Macaca mulatta: one gene and its partner. The protein of the gene in region 1 interacts with the protein of each later gene in a biochemical or structural test. Links are inferred from orthologs where the notes say so. Each region holds a gene or a part of one and is shown on either strand. Other genes may lie near its edges.

The links. The genes of interacting proteins can lie anywhere in the genome.
Region 2: the proteins of UBC (region 1) and AP2A1 form a complex in vitro, tested with the Homo sapiens proteins (2 studies listed by BioGRID). The link is inferred for Macaca mulatta from reciprocal best matches to the Homo sapiens genes UBC and AP2A1.

The regions. Positions count from the first base shown.
Region 1 is NC_133416.1:132,361,947-132,365,833, forward strand, and holds UBC (polyubiquitin-C), read right to left. Parts: upstream 2,463-3,887; coding exon 633-2,462; 3' UTR 565-632; downstream 1-564.
Region 2 is NC_133424.1:62,271,613-62,275,176, forward strand, and holds part of AP2A1 (AP-2 complex subunit alpha-1), read left to right. Parts: coding exon of another isoform or gene 1-63; intron 64-1,624; exon of another isoform or gene 1,625-1,759; coding exon 1,760-1,883; intron 1,884-1,967; coding exon 1,968-2,084; intron 2,085-2,178; coding exon 2,179-2,248; intron 2,249-2,424; coding exon 2,425-2,559; intron 2,560-2,980; coding exon 2,981-3,058; 3' UTR 3,059-3,450; coding exon of another isoform or gene 3,451-3,564. Other genes in the region: FUZ (protein fuzzy homolog), read right to left, coding at 3,451-3,564.

The DNA of each region.
Region 1 (3,887 bases):
CTACGCAGCTCAATGCGCATTTATACAGACCTATGTACTTGAAGCATCCTTTCATAGTTACCCTCCCACCACTCCCACCTTTTAAAATTCCTTCTTCCTGGTGTTCCGGTAATTCTCCCATTCTCTTACCTCACACATCACCCACAAACCAGTATTTTTAAAGTTAACTTAAGAGTTAAATCTACATATGTAAAATACTTCCATCTCCCAACAACTTTTTTGTCTTGCTGTTCCCCCAGCGGGAGGACAGTGGCACTCAGATCACAGCAACCTCCGCTTAATTGGTTCAAGGGATTCTCCTTCACCCTCCCATGTAGCTGGAATCACAGACACTCACACCTGCCTTTTTGTATTTGCAGTAGACATAGGGTTTCACCACATTGGCCAATCTGGTCTTGAAGCCGGCTTTTATTTGCACCCACCTTCTACAGTTCGTACTATATTAAGGTCAACCCCTTCACTGACATTTCACTGTTACCACAGCAACATTTGTAAACTGAAAACCTTGATCCCCTTCACCCAGTCTAATGCAAAATAACCTTAACTTTTAAAAAACCACACCAGTTGGGAATGCAACAACTTTATTGAAAGAAAAGTGCAATGAAATTTGTTGAAACCTTAAAAGGGGAAACTTAGACACCCCCCCTCAAGCGCAGGACCAAGTGCAGAGTGGACTCTTTCTGGATGTTGTAGTCAGACAGGGTGCGTCCATCTTCCAGCTGTTTCCCAGCAAAGATCAACCTCTGCTGGTCAGGAGGGATGCCTTCCTTGTCCTGGATCTTTGCCTTGACATTCTCAATGGTGTCGCTGGGCTCCACCTCAAGGGTGATGGTCTTGCCAGTGAGGGTCTTCACGAAGATCTGCATCCCACCTCTGAGGCGGAGCACCAGGTGCAGGGTGGACTCTTTCTGGATGTTGTAGTCAGACAGGGTGCGCCCATCTTCCAGCTGTTTCCCAGCAAAGATCAACCTCTGCTGGTCAGGAGGGATGCCTTCCTTGTCCTGGATCTTTGCCTTGACATTCTCAATGGTGTCGCTGGGCTCCACCTCAAGGGTGATGGTCTTGCCAGTGAGGGTCTTCACGAAGATCTGCATCCCACCTCTGAGGCGGAGCACCAGGTGCAGGGTGGACTCTTTCTGGATGTTGTAGTCAGACAGGGTGCGTCCATCTTCCAGCTGTTTCCCAGCAAAGATCAACCTCTGCTGGTCAGGAGGGATGCCTTCCTTATCCTGGATCTTTGCCTTGACATTCTCAATGGTGTCGCTGGGCTCCACCTCGAGGGTGATGGTCTTGCCAGTCAGGGTCTTCACGAAGATCTGCATCCCACCTCTGAGACGGAGCACGAGGTGCAGGGTGGACTCTTTCTGGATGTTGTAGTCAGACAGGGTGCGCCCATCTTCCAGCTGCTTTCCAGCAAAGATCAACCTCTGCTGGTCAGGAGGGATGCCCTCCTTGTCCTGGATCTTTGCCTTGACATTTTCAATAGTGTCACTGGGCTCCACCTCGAGGGTGATGGTCTTGCCAGTCAGGGTCTTCACGAAGATCTGCATCCCACCTCTGAGACGGAGCACGAGGTGCAGGGTGGACTCTTTCTGGATGTTGTAGTCAGACAGGGTGCGCCCATCTTCCAGCTGCTTTCCAGCAAAGATCAACCTCTGCTGGTCAGGAGGGATGCCCTCCTTGTCCTGGATCTTTGCCTTGACATTTTCAATAGTGTCACTGGGCTCCACCTCAAGGGTGATGGTCTTGCCAGTGAGGGTCTTCACGAAGATCTGCATCCCACCTCTGAGACGGAGCACCAGGTGCAGGGTGGACTCTTTCTGGATGTTGTAGTCAGACAGGGTGCGCCCATCTTCCAGCTGCTTTCCGGCAAAGATCAACCTCTGCTGGTCAGGAGGAATGCCTTCCTTGTCCTGGATCTTTGCCTTGACATTCTCGATGGTGTCACTGGGCTCCACCTCGAGGGTGATGGTCTTGCCAGTGAGGGTCTTCACGAAGATCTGCATCCCACCTCTGAGGCGGAGCACCAGGTGCAGGGTAGACTCTTTCTGGATGTTGTAGTCAGACAGGGTGCGTCCATCTTCCAGCTGTTTCCCGGCAAAGATCAACCTCTGCTGGTCAGGAGGGATGCCTTCCTTGTCTTGGATCTTTGCTTTGACGTTCTCGATGGTGTCACTGGGCTCGACCTCGAGGGTGATGGTCTTGCCAGTCAGGGTCTTCACGAAGATCTGCATCCCACCTCTGAGGCGGAGCACGAGGTGCAGGGTGGACTCTTTCTGGATGTTGTAGTCAGACAGGGTGCGCCCATCTTCCAGCTGCTTTCCGGCAAAGATCAGCCTCTGCTGGTCGGGAGGAATGCCTTCCTTATCTTGGATCTTTGCCTTGACATTCTCAATGGTGTCACTGGGCTCAACCTCAAGGGTGATGGTCTTGCCAGTCAGGGTCTTCACGAAGATCTGCATTGTCTAACAAAAGAGCCAAAAACCACCACCATTTAGCAGACAATGTACTAATCTTCCTAATACTTAAACTATATGTTATATTCACCCAAATGATTACAATTTAAAAGATACCTAAGAAACTTCACAAAATACACTCGCCAACCCCGAACGCATAGTTTAAAACTCAGACTTCAGCTACTTAAGAAAATAGGAACATAGAACTGACCAAAGAAACTGACGCCTCACTTATCCCTCCCCTCACCAGAGGTCAGGCCCCTGTCGACTCAGGAGGGCCTACCCTAGGCCCCAACCCTGCGTCCTGCGACGAAGAAAAGCCTACTGCACACCTACCGGCAGGTGGCCCCACCCCACATTATGAGCCAACAGAACGGATGACGTCACGACACTGCGAGGGCGCGCGCTCCTCAAGCTACGGGTGCACTGCCAAGTGGCACCGCCATTAACTGCCGCCCCCGCAACAGACGACAAAGCGAGTTCTCCGGTCAGTGACAGACTTCACATCAAGGTCCCCAAATGGTGCCCCAGCCCACCTCACCAGAATAAGAGCGTTCCCGCATTAGCGAAAACCTCAAGGCCTTGGGTTCTTGCCGCAAACCATGCCCCCCACCTTGTTTCAACAACCTCACAGCCCGCCTCACAACCGTCTTCCATTCAAGAGCCGGGAACAGCCGCCATTTTGCTGCGCTCCCCTCCCACCCGCTGCTCAGGGGCACCTTGCTCGCGGACCCAGACTACAGCCCTCGGCGGCCTCTCATCCCGCGGCGTCGGCCCCCCTCCATCCCACCGAGCGGCCCAGCGGCCACGAAAGCCATGGCCGGCCCAGCAGCCCTCTGCTCACCAAGTGGCGATGACACCGACACACAAACAAGAACTGCGATCCCACTCCCGGCTGCGACGGAACTAGCTGCGCCACACCCGGCGCGTCCTTATATAGTCATCGGCGTTCACCGCCCCAAGGAAATTCCTCCGCAGAATCGCCGAGAAGGGACTACTTTTGCTCGCCCGTTCCGGTCTCTGGAAAGAAAACCAGTGCCCTACAGTCACCCAAGTCCCGTCCCAAAATGTCCTCCTGCTGAGACTGGGGTTCTGGGACTGAGTCTGGTGGGCAGCGGGCCGCCGTCCTGAGCGCCCAAGCGGAAGAATCAGGGCGCTCGCTGCGCCCTGCGGCCATGACGTGGAGGCGCTCGCCGAGAGGAGGGGGCGTCCGCGGGAGGCGCCAAAACCCGGTGCGGACTCTGCGGCGCCAGGAGCGGGTGGGCAGCCCGCGTTCCTCAGCCGCGGCCCCTCCCCTCAGCCCCCGCGGTCCCCTCGGGTCGCGAACCCCGCGTTCGGCGGACGTGGGGCGCGGACGGAGCCCCTCCCGCAGAGTCGGGGTCTCCCTCCCCTCCCTCGCGACCCGCCCTGGCCCACCCCGCGAGACGGACG
Region 2 (3,564 bases), on another chromosome or scaffold:
CCTGCCTCCAGGCCTGCCTCTCCAGGTTGGCCTTCCTCATCGTGGGGAAGCTGGCTGACCCAGGTCCACACTTCTCTTTAGCCCCTCTTGGGCACGCAGTTACTTCTCTGAGATTCAGTGTCTGCATCTGTAAGATGGGGGTGGGGTTCCTTCCCCCAGGACAGGAGATGACAGTGAAGTGGTGTGTGGGAGGCATTACTTCCGGAACTCACCTGCTCCAGGCCTCAGTTTGTCCCTGTCTGGCACCTTCCGTGTCCTGCCATTATCCTCCACTGGGCTCCATGTCATGATGCCAGCACCTCCTGCACTCAGAAGCCAGGCCTGCGGGTCCAGACGCTGATCAGGGCCTCCTCCTGTATGACCTAGGCTGAGTCACTTTGCCTATCTGGGCCTTCCTGTCCCCACCGGGAAGTGTATGTAGACCCTCCTCTTCCTCATAGGGTTATTGTGAAGATCAGAGTATCTGGAAAACCCTGGAAGGGTGGCTGGAGGTATCAGTACCCCCTGTTCCTTCTCTGGGCCTCCATTTCCACATTGATGAAATTAGAAAAGCTCAACCCCCAAACTCCTTCCGGCCGGGCGTGGGGGCTCATGCCTGTAATCCCAGCACTGGGAGGCTGAGGCCAGCGGATCATTTGAGGTCAGGAGTTCAAGACCAGCCTTGCCAACATGGTGAAACCCCATCTCCACTAAAAATACAAAAATTAGCTGGGTGGTAGTGGTGCGCGCCTATAATCCCAGCTACTCAGGAGGCTAAGACAAGAGAATCACTTGAGCCTGGAGGTGGTGGTTGTGGTGAGCTGAGATTGTATCACTGCACTCCAGTCTGGGCGACAGAGTGAGACCCTGTCTCAAAAAAAATCAGAAACAAAATTCCCTCTTCCATAATTTCCAGAGGCTCGTGCAGGCAGCTCCGTGGAGGCAGTGGCAAGAGAACATGAGACCCAGGCCTTCCCAGTGGGCTACTGACACGGATGCAGATGACGATAACGCTAATTGCTACCATCTTTGTGTACTTATCATGTACCGGGCACACAGACAAGTACTTGTAATGGATTTTTTTTTTAAATAGTGATGAGGCCTCACTGTGTTGCCCAGGCTTGTCTCAAACCCTTGGGCTCAGTGATCCTTCCCACCTTGGCCTCCCAAAGTGCTGGATCACAGGCGTGAGCCACCACACCCGGCTGGATTATTTCATCAACTCCTGAGGACATTTTACACATGTCCTTTTGTTGAGACAGGGCCTCACTCACCCAAGCGGGAGTGCAGTGGCACGAACACTGCTTACTGCAGCCTCGATCTTCTGGGCTCAAGGCATCCTCCTGCCTCAGCCTTCCAAGTAGCTGGGAGTACAGGTGCACATCACCACACCTGGCTAATTTTTTTTGTAGAGATGGGGTCTTGCCATGTTGCCCAATCTTACACATGTCCAGAGGCTTAGAGAGGTTAAGTGGCTGCCCACAGCCACTCAGGTGGGTAAGAGATGGGATTCAAACCCAAGTCAGCCTCCAGAGCTAATACTATTATGTCTCAGTGAGGTGTGACATTGTGGGAGGCCAAAGGAGGCACCTAGGGGGCGCCTCAGAGGTTTCCATAGTATGAACTTTGTAGTTGAACCTTGTAGGATTGAGTCCAGGATTGCACCATGGGGTCCCTCAAAGACCTGCAGGCGGGAGCTGCCGGCAGCTCTGGGGTTCCTGACCCAGACCTCCCGGGGGCCCGCCGCCTCTGTCTGGCTTCCTTGACCGCTGGCGGGCACAGCTGGCTGTGCAGACCAAGCGCGTGGCGGCGCAGGTGGATGGCGGCGCGCAGGTGCAGCAGGTGCTCAATATTGAGTGTCTGCGGGACTTCCTGACGCCCCCGCTGCTGTCCGTGCGCTTCCGGTAAGTGAGGTGTGGCGCGGCCAGTGGGCGGGGCCTCCCGGGCGAGGGGCGGGGCCTAACGGAGCCTCCCCCTCACTCCACCAGGTACGGTGGCACCCCCCAGGCCCTCACCCTGAAGCTCCCAGTGACCATCAACAAGTTCTTCCAGCCCACAGAGATGGCGGCCCAGGATTTCTTCCAGCGCTGGAAGCAGCTGAGCCTGTGAGGGGTGGGGAGGGGGCGGCGCCAAAGCCGCGCCTCCGGGTGGGCGGGTCGGGCCGTCCAGGTCCCTGACTTGAACCTTCCCGGTCCCCAGCCCTCAACAGGAGGCGCAGAAAATCTTCAAAGCCAACCACCCCATGGACGCAGAAGTTACTAAGGCCAAGGTGAGAGACCGCGGGCGTGTTTGCTGGCCTAGGGCTGCTTTGCTTCTCTGAGCCTCTGTTTTCCCATCTGTAAAGTGGGGCCAATTCCCATCCCCAAGGGTTTTGGGATCTGGGATGCCACTGTGTGGTAACTGACAGCTCTGGCACTCTCTGACGGCGGCCCCCCTCCCTCCCAGCTTCTGGGATTTGGCTCTGCTCTCCTGGACAATGTGGACCCCAACCCTGAGAACTTCGTGGGGGCAGGGATCATCCAGACTAAAGCCCTGCAGGTGGGCTGTCTGCTCCGGCTGGAACCCAACGCCCAGGCCCAGGTGAGTGCTGCTGTGGGAGGCCTGAGGTCGGCAGGAAGGCCACCTGTCATCTCTGTGCCCACTCTTCCTGCCTCACTGTTCAATTCACGTCCCCCCTTTGACCCTCCTCCTCTCGCATCTTTGTCCACTTTTCCTCCTCTTTATCCATCAATCTTCTCTCCTGTCTCCAACCTCTGGTCTTCCTCTCCTCTTCCTGTCCCTCCCTGATTTCTACCTTTCCATATCGTTTCCACCTTTCTCTTCTCATTTATAATTTCCCTCCTTTCTGGCTCCTCCGTTGATTTCATTCTTACATTCTCCTCTCCTGTGTCTTGTATCACTTTTCTGGCCCCTTTATCCTTCTTTCTTCTATCTCCCTTGTGTCCCCACTTCCCTGGGCTCCCCATCTTCTCTGAGTTCTGCCCCCAATGTCCCCACCCAGATGTATCGGCTGACCCTGCGCACCAGCAAGGAGCCCGTCTCCCGTCACCTGTGTGAGCTGCTGGCACAGCAGTTCTGAGCCCTGGACTCTGCCCCCGGGGATGTGGCCGGCACTGGGCAGCCCCTTGGACTGAGGCAGCTTTGGTGGATGGGGGACCTCCACTGGTGACAGAGAAGACGCCAGGGGTTGGGGGATGCCTGGGACCTTCCTCCGGCCTTTTGTATTTTTATTTTTGTTCATCTGCTGCTGTTTACATTCTGGGGGGTTAGGGGGAGCCCCCTCCCTCCCTTCCCCCTCCCAAGCACAGAGGGGAGAGGGGCAAGGAAAGTGGATGCCTCCTCCCCTCCCACCCCACCCTGTTGTAGCCCCTCCTACCCCCTCCCCATCCAGGGGCTGTGTATTATTGTGAGCGAATAAACAGAGAGACGCTAACAGCCCCATGTCTGTGTCCATCACCCACTGCTAGGTAGTCAAAGAAGTGGGGTGAGGGCATGCAGAGTGTGGGTGGCTAGGCTTCGCAGCCCATGGCTGGGACTCTGGGGAGACAGCAGCAGCAGCAGCCGCCGAACCCCCAGCTGCAGGGC